Drosophila melanogaster: one gene and its partner. The protein of the gene in region 1 interacts with the protein of each later gene in a pairwise test. Each region holds a gene or a part of one and is shown in the gene's direction. Other genes may lie near its edges. The genes, in order: Gdh and CG15564.

Region 1 (10,424 bases):
ATTGATTTGTGTGATTTGGATTTTCTAATAATTACTAGCTGAAGCAAAAAAAAAAGCATTTCCGGGGGTTCTCCAAAAAGTATTGAGCAATATTTACTAACAGCACAACTAAAATTCTAAACCACAAAGAATATATGACTAAAGCTATTTTCGTAATTCCCTAGTAAATGTTTGATATTTCATAATACTGCTTATGGTATTATTACGACTGAGAACCCCAAAATTTTAGCTTGCATGAAGCACAAAAGTGTGTAAGTCTCGTATTGCATAGCTACTATAGTTTTGATACAATTAATCATTTATTTATTATTCGTTTATGACTGTATAATGGTTTTCCGCTTATTTTAAAGTGTGATATGTGAGTCAGTCATAGATTGAGACACTCCATTTCAATTCAGCCACACGTCAATAAAGATCTTACAAAATGCGAAGCGATGAGTGTTTCAGTATTATGGCCTTGCCCACCGGCCGTTAGCCATAATTTCCACTTCAGACAGCCTGACAATTCCGAATCCGAATCCGAATCGCGACGCACTCGCACGTGAACTCAGATATAAATTCTATATAATTATACGCTATAACTGAACTAATACCCCGTTTGCCCTCCGGCAAAAAAGGGGAAAACCTCAAACGCAACTCCCGCAAATTACCAAATTATCGCACAGCTCAAAGACACTGAGATTCGGTGTTACGTGGAGTCCACAATGCAACCCACTCAAACACATCCACGGCGTTTATAAGTCAAGGTGATCATTATTGGTAGAAAAAATCCAAAAACTTACAATGACTCTTAATTGTTGGACGTTAAGCCGGCGCTGAAACCAGCGACATGGCCCATTACGCGATTCTAGCCAGTGGAACAGCAGGCCATTTGGATCCAAATTGCAATTCCAACGCCATGACACTTAACTAATGACCGACCGCCTCTTGTTTTCGCTTTCAGATCTTTGGCAAGCTGCTGGAGAAGAATCCCGGCATCGTGGACAAGGTGCGCGTGGTAAAGGGCGATCTGCTGGAGCCGGACCTTGGCCTGAGCGCCAATGACACCAACACACTCGCCTCCAACGTCGAGGTGGTCTTCCACTGTGCGGCCAATGTGCGCTTCGACCAGCCGCTGCGTCCCATGGTCATGATGAACGTGGTGGGCACCCTGAAGGTCCTCCGCCTCGCTGAGAAGATGAGCCAGCTGCAGGCTCTGGTCCACGTGTCCACCTCATACTGCCAGTGCAACGAGAGCGTTCTGGAGGAGCGAGCCTACCCGGCTCCACAGAACCCCTTCTCCATCATCGAAATGGTGGAGACGATGGACGACGAAGCTCTGGCGGAGATTACACCCAAGTAAGTGGTTGAAATTGCTCTTCCTGAGCCGCAGATATTATTGCTCTTATTATTCGCGTCCAATGAATTTTGAGCAGCACTTACTTTTAGTAAACAAACGCTTATAAAGATTTGGGCTATCTAAATACTGGCTGAAATATAATGAAGTGCCTATAGTTTCATGCTCCTTTACAGGCGTACCTTGGTGGCACCTAATAACCAGTTTCTTTGGCTTATTTTTAGATTACTAAACGGCTTGCCAAACACGTACGCTTACAGCAAGGCGCTGTCGGAAGATTTAATTTGCAGATACAACAATAAGCTGCCCATAATCATCACAAGGCCCTCGATCGGTGGGTATACCATAGTGTCTACTCTGTTTTTGTGCCTCCTGGCTAATTGCTTTATTAAATCCATTGCAGTGACGGCCGCCATTCACGAGCCATTGCCCGGCTGGATCGAGGGCGTCAATGGACCCACCGGCCTAATGATCGGCGCCGCCCGCGGAGTCATCCGATCGATGCACTGCAATCCGGACTACGCCTCCACGGTGATACCCGTAGACAAGGCCATTAACGGCATGATCCTGTGCGGCTATCAGCGCGGAAAGGCCAGCCAGGAGAAGGGTAACAAGCAGACGGGTGTTGAGTTCTGCAATCTGTGCATCTCCAGCAAGGCGCTGATGTCCTGGGGCGACAGCATCGAGACGGGTCGTCGATTCTTCTACGAAACGCCGCTCAGCTTTGCGCTCTGGTATCCGGGTGGATCCATCAAAAAGAACTACTACCACCACCTTTTCTGCGTCATCTTCTTCCACTATCTGCCCGCATACTTCATCGACTTTTGGCTGCTCGTCTTTGGCCAAAAGCCATTGTAAGTAAACGGTTAAATTTTAAGTTCTCCTATTAACACATGGATTATTCCCATCCAGCTTACTCAATGTCCAACGCAAAGTGTCCATGGGTCTGAAGCTGCTGCAGTACTACACAACGAAAAGGTGGGAGTTCCGAAACGAGCGCTTCCAGGAGATGAGCAGTCAGCTGAGCCTCCTGGATCAGGACCTCTTCGACACGTCGGTGGGTCAGGTCAATTGGGAGACATACATCAGTAACTACATTGTGGGCATGCGCACCTATATACTGGGCGAGAGCGAGGACACTCTGCCGCAGGCCAGGAAGGTCCTGCGACGGCTGTATATCCTCGACTGGGTCAGCAAAGTGCTGTTTTTCTCCCTGAGCTTCTGGTTCCTGTGGACCCATTTGGATGGCTTCGTGGAACGGAGCGATGCCTTCATCCGATCCTCGCTCAGCACCATTTACCATGAGCGAAACAGCACCATACATGTATAAACTCTTCTTTAATTATGTACTTCAAATATAGTCCACAAGATTTTGTTTCTTTTTAAGTAAGCTAGCTGTGTTTTATTTCTATTTTAACTAAGGATTAAAACTCAAAACAGTCACATAGGAATTGTGTGAAAGATCAATAGCATGATAAGCCCGAAAGTTACGTGGTAAATTCCTGAAAGTATGAGCTCTAAATAAAAAATTTAGCAAAACCTTTAAAAAAACACCTTATATAAAATATACCTTGTATATATCGTTTGTATTGTACTGTACGATGTTTATTACTTAGATTTTCAAGTGCTTTCTAAAAGAAACTCAGTACCCCCCTGAATTCAACATATAGCCGAAGATGATAAATCATAGCTTAATCTTGGAGTCAAAGAAAAACGTGAACGTGAAACCGATAACAAATACCTAATCTCGCCCTGGCAACGAAGCGAGTAATCCGCCGGCGGTGGTGCCGCGTTTCTAGCGGGCACTCCACCCACAGAGCTTTTCGGTGAAAAGTTTGCACCGCTCTCGCCGGAGAGCAAAAAGCTCGGCGCTCCGAAAAAGCCGACATATATATACATATCTATGCGAGTGCCTCGGCCAGTTTGGTGCGGCGTCGAGTAGCGAGCGGTTGTGTAGAACAGAATAAAAAAAGAGTTGGAACCCGAAGAATCCAAGCGATTAGCAGCATGTATCACCTGAAGAGTCTGGCCCGCCAGGGCGCCCGCCGCCAGCAGGAGCTGGCCACGCTGGCCAAGGCACTGCCCACCGCTGTGATGCAGTCGAGCCGCGGCTATGCCACCGAGCACCAGATTCCCGACCGCCTCAAGGATGTGCCCACCGCCAAGGATCCGCGCTTCTTCGACATGGTCGAGTATTTCTTCCATCGCGGCTGCCAAATCGCCGAGGAATCGCTGGTGGACGACATGAAGGGCAAGCTGACCCGCGACGAGAAGAAGCAGAAGGTGAAGGGCATCCTCATGCTGATGCAGCCCTGCGACCACATCATCGAGATCGCCTTCCCCCTGCGCCGCGATGCCGGCAACTACGAGATGATCACCGGCTACCGCGCCCAGCACAGCACCCACAAGACGCCCACCAAGGGAGGCAAGTGTTGATCCAAGATAACCCAAGATATAATAGTCAGAACTCTGCACGTAGGTAGTAAAAAATGAGACGTTAAGAGGTTTTCAAAAGGGATGCAAACAAAAGTGCCAAACCTATAGAGACCACTAGATGATTCAGTTTTCCTTGAAAATCTAAAACAAAAAATGCAATTACCTAGCAAGTTTAAAGCAAAAATTTGTCAACACTTACTTAAGTTTTAAGAAACCCTCAGAACAGCTGTTGTCGCTCGATGCAAAATCGATTTTTCCTTAGGCATTTCTGGCATTTCGTCTTGATTTTTCAAGTTATGTAACCCAGTATATAAGCCACACCAGACCAGACCCCCTTTTCCCCACGTTCTGCGCATGTACCGCTGCCGCCTGTTTTGTTTACGTTTTAGCCGACTGGGCTCCCCCTTTCTCCACATTTTTTTTTTTTTTTTTTTTGTTATTTGAGGGTTTTTAGGCCGCATTGCATAAGGCTCGGACGTTGGGCACACGTGTTTGCATTAGATTTCCAAACCCTTCAAGTGTGCCACCATTCAAAAACAGATGTACATATGCTGAATGTACTGCCCGCTTTTCGCACATTTCATTATTTTCGAGCTGGCAAATGTATTTCGATTCTTTCGCTGCTGTTTGTTTTTCCTTTGGCTGGGTGCTATTTATAATGAACTTTTGCTTGTGTTTTGCTTTCTAATTGAAATGAGAGCACAGCACTGCACAGTGTGTCAAGTGCTAAAAAAAAAGTAACGCCCCTAACCACCAAAAAAAAAAAGAAAAAATCTCCTTGTTGTCAGGCCACAAAAATTGTTTGTTCCGAATTCTGTTCCTTTTTTTTTTGCTTCATCTCAAATTATTAATTATAGAATCAGTTTGGTGCTTATCAAAAGCAAAAAAAAAAGAACACAAAAAATATGTAGTGAAAAATATTCGACTAGGGAATCTTATCTGACCTTGGTTATGCGCAAAAATAGAAAACAGAAACAGCCGAAAAAACGCTATGCCCCTAAAATTTGTTGTTTACGATTATTGCCACGCTTCTTAACACTTTATGATCTTGTTTTCGATCCATAGATCGATCGATCGATCATGTGGCTTAGTTAGTTGGGTCACCAAAAGTTGTAAACAGCCTGTTACTAAGTGAATTGAATCCACCTTATGGCTCGTTAATGATTCACTCAAATAGCCAGCTCTCTGCTATTTCAGTCAAAGGTGCTAAAAATTGCTAGTCTATTTATTTACTTAGTACTACTAGATCAATGGACAGTGTTTAATGGCCACCATTTTGTGCGCTCCATGCTCTAATTAATGTTAATTCCCGCTGATGCATCTGCCATTTGGCTGTTAATTATTTAATACGTTCTGCGTATGTACATACATCAAGTCCCCGGTCTCGAATTTCGGCAAAAGTGCCCCTTTAAAAAAAAAACAGCCGGCTCATGAATTTCGTTTCGTTTGGTTCCCTGTCCAAATGTCGAGTTGTGTGTGCCTCTAAAGAACTGGTTTTAATTTGCCCGGGGTGTCTGTCCGTTCGGCTTTGTTCACGTGATAGTCACGTTGTGCCAAAAAAAAAAGAATTGAACAAAAACTGCGAGTTTATGATATATGCGTCATACGCTTCACCACTGTGCTGGTTTTCTTTAATTTTTTTTTTTTCAACAAATGGGGGTCCATTCAAAACCGATTTGATCTGGCCTACGACTGTGGAACTTTCTACACATGTCGATGAACCGATCTAAATTGTCTAGTCAATTGAGTGGTCTGCTTTGCATTTACTCAACCACAAGTACAAGTGATGCATTCAAACTCGAATCGAACGCGACAAAATAAAAAACTGATAATGTAAAGCGGCCCTATCGCCAATGTATTATTTATACATATTTATTATACACATGTGGCGACAAATGTACACACATTAGTTCAAGTAAATAGCGTTGCCCACAAGTACTTGGCAGTTATCTTATTGACAAACATGTTTCCATTCTATTTGCTACCCGTCGAGAGTTGCACTCGAAAAATGCGTATGCAAATCGTGTTAATTGTGTTACACTCAAGTTGATTCCCCGATACTTACCTCGCCCTGGAAAAAAAACAAACAAACCTGTACCCATTATCTAGTTCACAGCTAAATAGTTGATCACGATGGTATCGACATCGAAATGGCATGTTTCTTAGCACTCAACTTCGCTGGGGGTGCGTCCATATCTGCGTCACTTCCGTTCTTATCCCCCCAATCTTATCGAGCATTGAGATCTCAAGGCCCCCACTGACAAAAAGATTTCGGAGAAGTTTTTGCACTCGGCGGCATTCTAATCATATGGCGTAGAATTCTGGTCAGCTGACTTGGTGAGGCAACCGGTTTGGTCTATTCGAAAAACAAAAAGATCGTCGCCTGTTGCCAATGGGGAATATATACATATGGGCATACTTATAGACGTGGCTATATGGCACACACACACACAGCCACACGATCGAGCCCCCAAATGTGTTATCGCACCACCGATTGTATAAGCAGCAGCATGCCCAACTAGACTATATAGGCAGCTATCTTTGGAACCTTAATAGATTCATTCTTTCTGTATTGTTTTTCGAAAAATTTTTGGCAAAAAACGAAAACAAGTCGACTGATCAAGCCGGTTGGTGCTGTTACTCTGGCATTTCGTCTGCTGTTTTTTTTTGTTTGTTTCTTATGGTAAACATAAGCGAAAAGAAAGGCGAAGAATGGGGCTTCGCCAAATAGAGAATGATTCGCTGTCGTCAAGCGCGGTGGGTACAGTCAGCACCATTCTCAGCTGGACTTGGGATTCGATTCGATATGAGGGCTTAGCTCACTCAGCGGAAAGGCAAAGCGAAGACGCCAAATGGCTGTAAAAAAAAGGCTCTGCAAACTCAAAAACCACTCATTATAAACTGAAAGTCTGGCTTTAAATTAATAAATGCTACGTGAATACAATCTTCCCAACACCAGCTCACTAATCTTAAAGTTTATTATTAAAAAGCACAGATTATGTGCTCCTTAAGATTAAAGATTCAGTAACAGCACGGAAGAACCTATTTTTAGGTTGTTTACAAGCATACCGGATCATAATTCACTTCAGTCGCGACAGGATAGTGTACTTTAAAATCAGACTGGCCCTTGAAAAACAATGATACACAAATAAGTTCCAATCGGTACATAATGAATTGTAATTTTTTGAAATTGTGTACTCATCGTTTTATTTGTTTATAAGTTCCAGTTGCCGGGCCCCAAAAAAATGCTACACAGCTGATAATGTCAAGAACTTATTTCGAGTGCCAAAAGCAAATTCAGAGATTGTTTTTTGTGTGGAGAAACCAAAAATTTGCTTGATTCATGGTCACTATCGACCGGCCACTTGGCAACAAGGCATTTAATTTAATCGCAAAAATTAAGCTAATTTTGGATTTTATAGTCTTGTTTTTTGGGGGCTCGTCCCGGGGTTCTAATGGGGAAGTCATTAATTTACCTAGTTCTACATACAAATTTACGTATGTATAAAGGCCATTTGGTGGAACTTGCTCTTGCCAATAAAGCAGCATTTATATTTATCGATCCATAAAAAGCGGGCACTTTGCACTTTTAAGTTCTTACAATTAAAACACCCTTGTTAAATTCGAATTACAAGCACGAAATTTTGGCTTATCTAATCGCGCCGACTTCCCAAAGATATAAACATTATATGTGCCAAGCAAATAAAGATAAGAGCCAAGGAGGGGTTTTATGGTTTCTGTTCATGGGATTGTTGCGCCATCGGCGAAAGGTTTCCCCACGTCTGCCAGATGCAATGATTTTGTTTTTAGGGCACGTGCTTTAGTAAAACAGCCAAGAAATGTTCGGTTGTATCATCGATTCGAGGAGAACTTTTGCTTTCCGCGAGGAATTCGTGTAGTTTGTCGTCTATTTTTGTATTTGTCTGTTGGATTTAGACCAAAAATGAAAGCTGCAACAAGGTCGCCGAAAGTTCTGAGCACACCTGTCGTATACGTAATGTGCTTATGCAATTCTTTTCCCTTGCAGGCATCCGTTTCTCGTTGGATGTGTCACGCGATGAGGTCAAAGCCCTGTCCGCCCTGATGACCTTCAAGTGCGCCTGCGTGGATGTGCCATTCGGCGGAGCCAAGGCCGGTCTGAAGATCAACCCTAAGGAGTACTCCGAGCACGAGCTGGAGAAGATCACCCGTCGCTTCACCCTTGAGTTGGCCAAGAAGGGCTTCATTGGACCCGGTGTCGATGTGCCCGCCCCCGACATGGGAACCGGTGAGCGCGAGATGTCCTGGATTGCCGATACTTATGCCAAGACCATCGGTCACCTGGACATCAATGCTCATGCCTGTGTCACCGGCAAGCCCATCAACCAGGGCGGTATCCACGGACGCGTCTCGGCCACCGGTCGCGGTGTCTTCCACGGCCTGGAGAACTTCATCAACGAGGCCAACTACATGAGCCAGATCGGTGAGTGTTGCATCATGATTGTCTAGTTATGAAAGTGCATCATCCTAATGGTAATATCTACATTCTTAGGCACCACTCCCGGCTGGGGCGGCAAGACCTTCATCGTCCAGGGCTTCGGTAACGTGGGCCTGCACACCACTCGCTATCTGACCCGCGCCGGAGCCACCTGCATCGGTGTCATTGAGCACGACGGCACTCTGTACAACCCGGAGGGCATTGACCCTAAGCTGCTGGAGGACTACAAGAACGAGCACGGCACCATTGTGGGCTACCAGAACGCCAAGCCCTACGAGGGCGAGAACCTCATGTTCGAGAAGTGCGACATCTTCATTCCCGCTGCCGTCGAGAAGGTCATCACCAGCGAGAATGCCAACCGCATTCAAGCTAAGGTAAAGTCTTAATTGAATATAACAAAAGAATCTTGTAAAAATGGGAATATATTCCCGTTTCAAAATGGTTAATATATATTTTAAATAATTTTCATCAATTTTAGATCATTGCCGAGGCTGCCAACGGCCCCACCACCCCCGCTGCCGACAAGATCCTCATCGATCGCAACATCCTGGTCATTCCCGATCTGTACATCAACGCCGGTGGTGTCACCGTCTCCTTCTTCGAGTGGCTGAAGAACCTGAACCACGTCTCGTACGGTCGCCTGACCTTCAAGTATGAGCGCGAGTCCAACTACCATCTGCTTGGTAAGTTTATCACACTATTATTATGCAAAACAATAGGCTCTTGAAGGCACTTGCTCCTCATCTCGTTATCTATCAATCTATCTATCTATCTGAATAAGTATACTTTGGCCCATTGATCATGCCATCTCATTGATTGGTTTATGGATTTAGTTATGCTATTTATTTTAGAAAACACAAAACCTATTAGAAAAGCGCTTGCTCTTTCGGCATTTGCTCTTCCCATATTGGTTCAGTACTTCCAAATTTCGTTTCTCGTCAATTTACTTTCGATTTATTATCCACCTACACCTGAAAATCAAACCATAACCAAGAGACTCTAAGATCGTTATATAATTTTGAAGTATCATCTAAGTAATTCGTTGTTTATTCTTCTTCTTTTTCCGTTTCTCTATCAACAATGTAGCCTCAGTCCAACAGTCAATTGAAAGAATCATTAATGACGGTACATTCTGATTATTAATTCTTTTCGTTACCACCTATCCATCCTTAAGCCCAAAAAACTTTTTCTACCTCATGTTTACCTTTTTTGTAGTTAGTTTTGTTCTGTAACGTTTATTTTGTGCATTTATTACTTGTTGCTTTATCCAAAAAAAAAAAAACACAATATCATAATCAGACTAATACCAGGAACCATCCAATCCTATGCTTTAATTCGGTATCTAATTATTTGGTGGCTTAAAAAACCCTGTCATATATGTATATGTGGTCCCTTGAGCATGTGGCACTCTTAACTAATCGCTTTGTCCTTTTGTTTCCCCCATCGCTGTTTTCCTGCAGAATCCGTTCAAGAGTCCCTGGAGCGTCGCTTCGGCCGTGTGGGCGGTCGCATCCCCGTGACCCCCTCCGAGTCGTTCCAGAAGCGCATCTCCGGCGCCTCCGAGAAGGATATCGTGCACTCCGGCCTGGACTACACCATGGAGCGCTCCGCCCGCGCCATCATGAAGACAGCCATGAAGTACAACCTGGGCCTGGACCTCAGAACCGCTGCCTACGTCAACTCCATTGAGAAGATCTTCACCACATACCGCGATGCCGGCCTGGCCTTCTAAGCCCGCTGAGTGTGCTGATTAGCCCCCAGACTCTTAACTAGTTAATTAAGCAATCGAACTCAAGAGCATAACTATTGCTATTGCTCCATGCACCGCCGTCTTAGATGAAAAGTCACAAAACCGAAATGCAAGAATCGTAATTTATATCTATGGCAATTGGAGCTGGCCAAAATAACTCTTTTAAAAAACAAAGCAAAACAAAAGCGAACTTTCGCCCGTGTTTCGTATTAAGTTGAACAAGTTGCGAGCTTATTATTGTTGATTTTCTGTAATTTTTAAGTTAATGAGCGTCAAAGTGAAGCAATTGCATTTTCAATTATGTATCGCAACGTCTCGTACCGTCAAGTCACGTTTATCGTACGATCGCTCCGTTGCCGTAACATTAAAATAATCAAATATACACAAAACTAAACTCTAAACAAGTGCATTTTAATTGTCGATTG
Region 2 (7,695 bases), 7.3 Mb from region 1:
TGGCCTTCCAGTACGGACGCAACATCGGCTTGGCCTTTCAGCTGGTCGACGACATGCTGGACTTTGTCTCCTCCACCGAGCAGATGGGCAAGCCGACGGCGGCGGATTTGAAGCTGGGTCTGGCCACCGCTCCCGTCCTCTTTGCATGCGAGAAGGTGAGTGCGGAATCTGGGATCTGTTGGATATTTCCTAGTTGGCTTGCCAACCAATCTAAGCTGTTTCGTTGTGCACAGAGAAAAATCGTTATAATGCAACATAAGTCGTAAATCGTAGGTGTATAAAAGTATGCCACACTTAAATTCATATGTCTGCATACCTACGTGTTTTCTTTTTAGATTGAGTTACCATTTTTCTCTGTGTATATATGAGCTAGATTGAGCTGTCTCTTTGTCCAGATGTCTATTTGCTATGCATCCAAAGTGGCTTCGCGCCATCGCAACGATGATGTATTCATGGTGCGGGCGGTGAAGGTGTGATGATGTCATGTGGGTGGGTGGTTGGCTAGATGCGCAGATGATACAATGCGACTGTAACTCATCAATTGCCACCGATTACCAATGCCCATTTGCTATGCATTCCGCGGGCTGTGCACGCGTGCAGTGCGTTTAAAGCCGCTACATAGCTGCAAACTGCATAACCTGCATAATTGAAATGCCTTTTCCGTACATTCCAGTACCCCGAGCTGAATCCCATGGTGATGCGGCGCTTCAGCGAGCCCGGCGACGTGGAGCGCGCCTTCGAGCTGGTGCACAAGTCGCACGGTCTGGAGCAGACCCGGTTTCTGGCCAAGAAGCACTGCAACGAGGCGATACGGCTGGCCCAGGAGCTCACGGAGTCGCCCTACCAGAAGGGTCTCCAGGTGGTCGCCGACTTAGTCATCAACCGCATGAAGTAGAGTACCGAGCACCCGAACACCCTAACATAAACCATACACGTAATGCAATAATAATAATATTAATAATAATATTGTTATGTAGGCCCATTGATGTTTGGATTAAGTCCTGTTCAGCCGGCGGGCCAATTTGTAAACAAGAATTATTATTTAGTTTTTAGGCATTTGTTGTTGACACTGTAAATAATTGCATAAAAAAACCTAATCAACACACACTAAATGGCAACGATCGCTGTACATAACATAATTACAAGATGTTTAATGAATTTTTGACAAATTTTGTATGCAATGTTTTTCGACAAATTTATTTATATGTATAGAGAGCGAAACATGAGCCAAAAGCCAACAACAATAGGGGAAACGAGAAAATTGTACAAACATTTCATCAAATAAATGAATGGAAATGGGTTGCCAGGCGAGCACCAAATGTGGAATCTACTTTAAAATGAAAATGTTTATTAGTCAATGCAACAAAGAAAGCCAGTGTGTAGAGCGATATTTTTAATACGAAGCACGAGGAGCATAATTGGTTTATTTTATATTAATACTTGATTTAGGGCATTTCATGCCTAAATGGTTCAATGGTCATTGCCTGCACTCTGTTTAAAATCCCTTCCGACCGCACAAACTTGTAACTTAAAGTGGAAAGCCCGTAGTTTAGCTGGATTAAATAAAATATTTTGAACCATTCGCGCATGAAATGCATATTATAATATGTTCTATAAGAAATGTAACGAGGATTGTATGTGAAACAATGCTGCCCAGTCTTAATTTTAAATCTTTCTTCTCCGCCTCTAATGCAATAGTAATTTAAAAGACATTTGAAACGAATTCGAACCGCAAACCCCAAATGTTGAAATGTTCTACAAATCTTTTTAGATGTAAGTTTTTATTTTAATTTATAAACACAACCTCAGTTAAGTTAGTCAGCGAAATTCGTTTTTTTGTCCGTTTAGTTTTGATGCAAATTCATTGGGCTCCTTTACAGCCTGCTCTACACTGAAAGAAAGGCAAATGAAAGATATAATGCAGAAATTTGCTGGCTAGTTAATCAATACAATTGGGTGCTGACGACGATATACCCACATATTTTAGAGTGCGAACGACAAAATAATGATACAGATGTTGATATTGATACATGTAATTACGATATTTGTATACCTAATGAGATGAATAAAAATTCGATTTTGTAAAACAAGCAAATTGGAGCTGATTTCGCCGCTTGTAGCTATGCAACATATTAACCACCAACCAGGTTGACCCAGTGAAATAGTTTTGGACATGGCCAAAATGCCTTATGTTGCAACGGGCATGGCTGAAACCGAAATTGGGGCAAACAAATAAATTTGGCGGTGTGAGTTGCTGGCTGAAATTGTAACTGCCACACGGGGCGTATGAGTAATGCTTGCTGCTTAGGCTTGCAAGAGCTTTTCATTTTAAAACATCAACAAGTTTCGTATTAAGTGGCACGCTATACTGCAGTAGGCTTACTTTTGCGTTTCATTAAAACAGAGCATCACGATTCAGGTTAAGCCAACGCAGCCGTGGCATTATTTCCAGGCAACATAAAGTCAATATATTTTATGTCCAGGCAGTCTAGCAAAGTGGAGCAGGCAAACATCGTGTCTAACTGGCGAAATATTTAAATAGCCAGACCAAATTAGCTGAGGTTTCGATATCCTTCGACTCGCCTTCAAGGACAGACGACCGAAGTGTGCCTTAACCTAGGTTATAAATAGTCGGGCGTGCTGCCTAGACAACCGACCCATCATCCACGGCCCTTTAGTGCCTGGCACGGATCCTGGCAGCCAATTCGGCGGTTAAACGGCTTGGATGGGACACGAGACCGATTCAGTAACGCCGCGTTTGCTGAACGCAGCGCTACTTCTGTTCTCGTTCTACCAGTTTCCCAAACATCCAGATAGGATCTCCAGAGCATTCAGAGAGCCATGACGACTAGCGATGAAATGGGCATGGGGGGCAACTTCTGCCACGACCACATCCAGCATCCGCTGATGTGGTGCGATGAGAAGAAGCGTCTTGTGGAGCGCAAGAATGCAGAGGAGAGTCTTCGCATGTGGCGGCGCCGGAAGGCGGAGGAGTGTGCTCGCAAGGAGAAGGATAAGCAGGAGGTGGGTAACAGTGCGTATGTGTGTGATATTTCCAGACCGTGCGTATGAGTTATATTTTAGGGCCCCAAGCAAAGTTGTTAGTAGTTACCTGAAACACCTTAAGCTTGGAACTCTGAACCCTAAATATATTAGTTTTAAAACTTTAAAGGCCATAATCAATTCACCAAGTTCCAAGTTCTTTGTCTAAGTCTAAGGCAAAACCAGAAACGAACGAAATGACAATCGAAAAACATCTCGAACCATCCGCCACGCAATAGTTGCAACTTTTGGTAAGTTCAAAGACCTGCCTCAAGCAACATGTAAGGCATCCGCCCCCGCGGATCTGGTTCAACAAACCCTTTGACAATTTCGACTTCGGTAATCAAATCCCCTCTCTTCGGCTAAAAGCCCAACTCCTGCGAGTCCTTGCGTGACTGGAGTCCTGGCTCCTTGCTCCACTACCTATCACAACCTGCAGCTGTGTGAAAGCGCCAACCGAAATGTGGGTGAAAAAAATCAGTGAAATGCAAATCGCCGTTCGCTGCAACTATAACAACAACCTACTAACAAACTTTGTGGGCCAGGGCAGCGGGAGCTCCTGAATTTGCCAATTTCCGTAAACAAACATCGCCACACTTCGCGGAGTGACACGACGAGGTGGGTTGAGGCAGTCTGGAGCCACAAATAGGCTGCCACCCAATCGATAAGGCATAACTCGGTGTTGTAATCGTCCTGCGGAAGTAATTTAATGTATTTATGTTGTGACTTTATTGCGGGTAATGCGATTCATGATTTCAGCGGAGGATACGTTAGTTTGCCTAAACGATTTTTCCAAGCATCACAATCTTTACTGAAATAAGTTGAAGATCAATTCGTATCAACAATGTTCTTTTATCCAGTACTACGACCTGTTTCACCAACATTGTCCCTGGGGTCGACCTGGTGGTGGGGCACCCAACGTAGAGGTGCGACGCAAGGACATCACAGCCGCTGGCCTTCACTCGACGCCCACAGTGGTAAGGACTCTTGAATCCTTCTCGAATAACATATATTCTACTCCAATAATTTGAATGTGCCGCAGACCAATGCCCACCGAATGAATCTACTGCAGCCGTGTCGCTACAACGACTTCTTCTCGATGCAGAAGAAGTGCCACAACAACCCGCTGGCCGCCTACCATCACCACCACCACCACGCCCCGCCTGCTCCGCCGCCGGGTGGCCGACTGGGCCACGCCCACTCGGTCCATCACCTGCAGGAAAGTGGTCCCAGGAGCAGCACCGTAACGATTTGCGAGCGGGAGATTCCGCACAAGCCCGGAGCGGCAGTTGGTGTCAATGTGGCCAAAAACGCCAACGGTGAGAGCCTTCACATCGAGCTGAAAGAACATCCTTCAATGTCGTTTCGCAATAAAGGCCATGTGGACATAGAATTGCGGTACAAGCCCTCTCCTCCGTGCAAGGGGAAGCCGCTTCTGGAGAAGATCGTAGTCAGCGAGAGTGAGCAGCGATGTCCTTTGCAGGAAAAGCTGGCCACTCAGAAGAAGCGCTTGCAAGCCAAACTCGAAAAGCCGGTGAGCGGCACTTATTACGCCCCCTGAAACCAAGTTTAACTAATCCCTCTTTATCTGTCCTCCTTCTAGTCCTGCAAGGAGCCGTGGGGCAAGGCGGGTCCGGGCGGCAAGCCATGGCGGAGTCCCAAGGAAGTGGGCAACACGTTCATGAAGTCACTGGTGGGTATCAGTCGCTTGTGCTCATATGTACACTGTTTAAATATAATCTAATTTCAGGGTTGGACGAACAAGGAGATGCTGAAGGAGTTGGACCAAGATAACCCGGTGACTCCCGCGGAGAAGAACACCTTTCGCAAATCGCGACCAGGCAAGCCACCAAAGCCGCAGCGCTGCTGTGAGTTGTGCACTTGCAAATGTCCCGCCATGCAAAAGAGTCCGCCCAAGCCGTCGCCACTCTCACTTCCCATTCCGCCAGGCAAAAAGTGCCCGGGTCCGCCAGGTCCGCCGCCCGGAAAAATGCTGCACCACTTGAAGCCGCAGGACTGCGGTAGCAAGCCCATCAAGTTGTGCCCCCGCATAGCGTCGAGAGGTCCCTGTCCCGGGAGCACCAGTACCGCCACTCCGGATCCCAGCACAGCGGGAGGAAAGGGAGGAGCCTATGGCGAAGGTGGTGGGGTGGAGCTGGTTCCCCTGCTCGCCAGAAGGCGTGGCATGCACCGACCCATCAGTCTCTCCAGCACGGACGTGACCAAGAGGACACCGTCGCACGATAGGTACGCATCCAAGCACAAGCATCCACCAAAGAACTGTCAGCTGACCACCACCAAGATCAAGTGCATCAACAGCATCATCAAGAACATTAGCCACATGAAGCGGCTGCCCAAGAATCTGAACTGCAAGCTGCAGTGTTGCAGTTGCGATTGCCCCACGGCCTTGGCCACGGGCTGCTGCCTCAAGCGGCTGACCCTGCACATTCGCCAGGCTTGAAACCCACGTTCTATCAATCCCGATCCCCTCCTGCTTTCATAGTACTACCATTCCACCACCTCCCTGCTCCCACCGTTTCTCATTTGCTTGCTCTGCGCCAGACATTGAAACGAAAGTCCGCTTGCCCCTCTATGCCTTTGCCTTGTGATCTTGTTCTGTTAATGGTTTCTCTAATCCCCCACTTCTCCTCGGCTCATCCAGCAAGAAAATATCCATTGTAATACAAGTGAAAGTATAGCAACCAAACGAGCAAACCAAATACCAATCTCACCAAAATCAAACAAACCGCAACAGCAAAAGTCAAAAATCATAATACCAATCTTCTATGTATGTATCCCCGTGCAAAACAAATCGAACTGAAAACCGAAAATCGAAAATTCGAAATCTGAAAAATCGAACTGATATAAATGAAACTATAATATTGCTGCCCACCAATCGACCGGCAACCAGGATTCAAACGGCCGCCGACATGCGCTATCTGCACGACCTGAATGTCCAGATCTCGCAGAACCGTCGATCCGTCTCCGTTTCCAAGCAACTGGACAGGGATCTGTGCAACCAACATTTCGACACATTCGAAACGTTCTGGGGCAGACCAGGACATGGAGCCCGTGGCGACAAGATCAACAAACTGAAACTGGACAATCTGCTCTATGGCGCCAGCGAATCGGCGTAAGGCCAAGGATTCTTGGATATTCAAGGATATTCCCTCACCTTCTGACTGGCTCGTAGTTTGTGCGCTTAAGTCATCTGCTCAGAAATCAATCGATGCCAAGACCCATGAAATCACATTACTGGAGTAATTATTTATTTATTACTATTTTAGGTTCTTCAAGTTCGCAATTCCAGTAATATTAATATCAGCCTATATGTCATTTGTACTATCTCTGTGAAAATTTTGCCAACTTGCTTCTAGTAAGTTGACCAAAGTTTTGAATAGGTTGTTTTCTAAATTAAGGGAAAACTAAAAAATATGGTCAGGGTGGTGAATTAAATTACAAAATCTCTTTTGATGGAGAGTGTAGGTAGTTTAATAAATAGGTAATAAAGAAAAAAATAGATCTACGAACTCTTTCGAATCTTTGTTAATTTAATATTGACAAATAATTCATTTTGGCTTATATATAGCATAAGTAATATCTTGTAAATACAAAACAATCAATTATACAGAAAAATAAAATATATTAATAAATTAAAACCACTTTTAACATAGCGATTACTGTACCTAAATATTCGTTGGCAACCAGTTCCCATCAAACTGTTTTAGCATTAAACAGTTGCCCTCAAACTGCATCGTTCCGACTGCTAGGAAAAATAAATTCAATCATTTCTCTCGAGTTTGTTTTTGAAGGACATTTTTATTATTATACATATGTTTATGTAGTATGTAATAGATCACATAAAGCAAAAAGAGAATATTTTACTACTTTTTTTTTGTTTTTGTGGATGATAATGATTTCTTCTGGCTTATGGATGTGCCAATTATCCCCTTTGAGCTCTCGTTTTCAACTCAAATAGGGACTCTTTGTGTGTTTATGTGGATGTCGATGATTTATGTTTAAACGTCAGTTAATTCTCTACGTATTATTACGATTTTAGTAAATTACAGTTACAATACATTATATAGTACATAGTAATAGTATGTAGGTAGAGTACGAATACGTTAACTATTCATATAGATTTTTATTCATTTTCTGTGTTTTGTGATTTTTTTATTTAAAAGTTATTTCGGTTTTATTACTTTTTTTGTGTGTGGTTTTGTTTTTCGTTAATTTTACATACATATATTAAATATATTTACGAACATAACAGCAGTCTTATATAAGATGACATACTCATTTTATTGTTTTCATTAGAGGGTTTGAGTTCATATCCATTCTGAAAGTTTGAATGTGAGTTATCGGGTAGGGATTTGACTTGCATCTCCTGACTGAAAACTCGATGGAGCTCCGGGGATCCGAAGATAGTTTGCGTTCATATAAAAGTTGTTTGGCTAAACTAGGGCGATCCGTTTGGCATCGCTTAAGCGTGGGTCTTAAATATATTGTTGTATTTAGATATAGGTATTCATCGATAGCTAGATGTTATATCTATAGGGACGCTGAACTATTTAGTTTAGTTGTGATTAATTTTTAAGACGCTGCGCGTCTGCGAAATGCGCTCTGAAAAGTTTACTTTTATTTTGTTTTGTT

What was found.
Region 2: the proteins of Gdh (region 1) and CG15564 interact in a two-hybrid assay, tested with the Drosophila melanogaster proteins (one large-scale study listed by BioGRID).

Annotation. Positions count from the first base shown.
Region 1 is NT_033777.3:23,935,931-23,946,354, reverse strand, and holds Gdh (glutamate dehydrogenase), read left to right. Parts: upstream 1-3,253; 5' UTR 3,254-3,343; coding exon 3,344-3,761; intron 3,762-7,584; exon of another isoform or gene 7,585-7,732; intron 7,733-7,799; coding exon 7,800-8,234; intron 8,235-8,303; coding exon 8,304-8,623; intron 8,624-8,727; coding exon 8,728-8,932; intron 8,933-9,335; coding exon 9,336-9,374; intron 9,375-9,709; coding exon 9,710-9,981; 3' UTR 9,982-10,397; downstream 10,398-10,424. Other genes in the region: CG12268 (uncharacterized protein), read left to right, coding at 944-1,338, 1,561-1,670, 1,740-2,190, 2,249-2,666.
Region 2 is NT_033777.3:31,230,428-31,238,122, reverse strand, and holds CG15564 (uncharacterized protein), read left to right. Parts: upstream 1-2,760; 5' UTR 2,761-2,841; coding exon 2,842-3,024; intron 3,025-3,902; coding exon 3,903-4,019; intron 4,020-4,084; coding exon 4,085-4,361; intron 4,362-4,418; coding exon 4,419-4,576; intron 4,577-4,645; coding exon 4,646-4,735; intron 4,736-4,792; coding exon 4,793-5,503; 3' UTR 5,504-5,708; downstream 5,709-7,695. Other genes in the region: qless, read left to right, coding at 1-155, 674-895; CG15563 (uncharacterized protein), read left to right, coding at 5,829-6,179.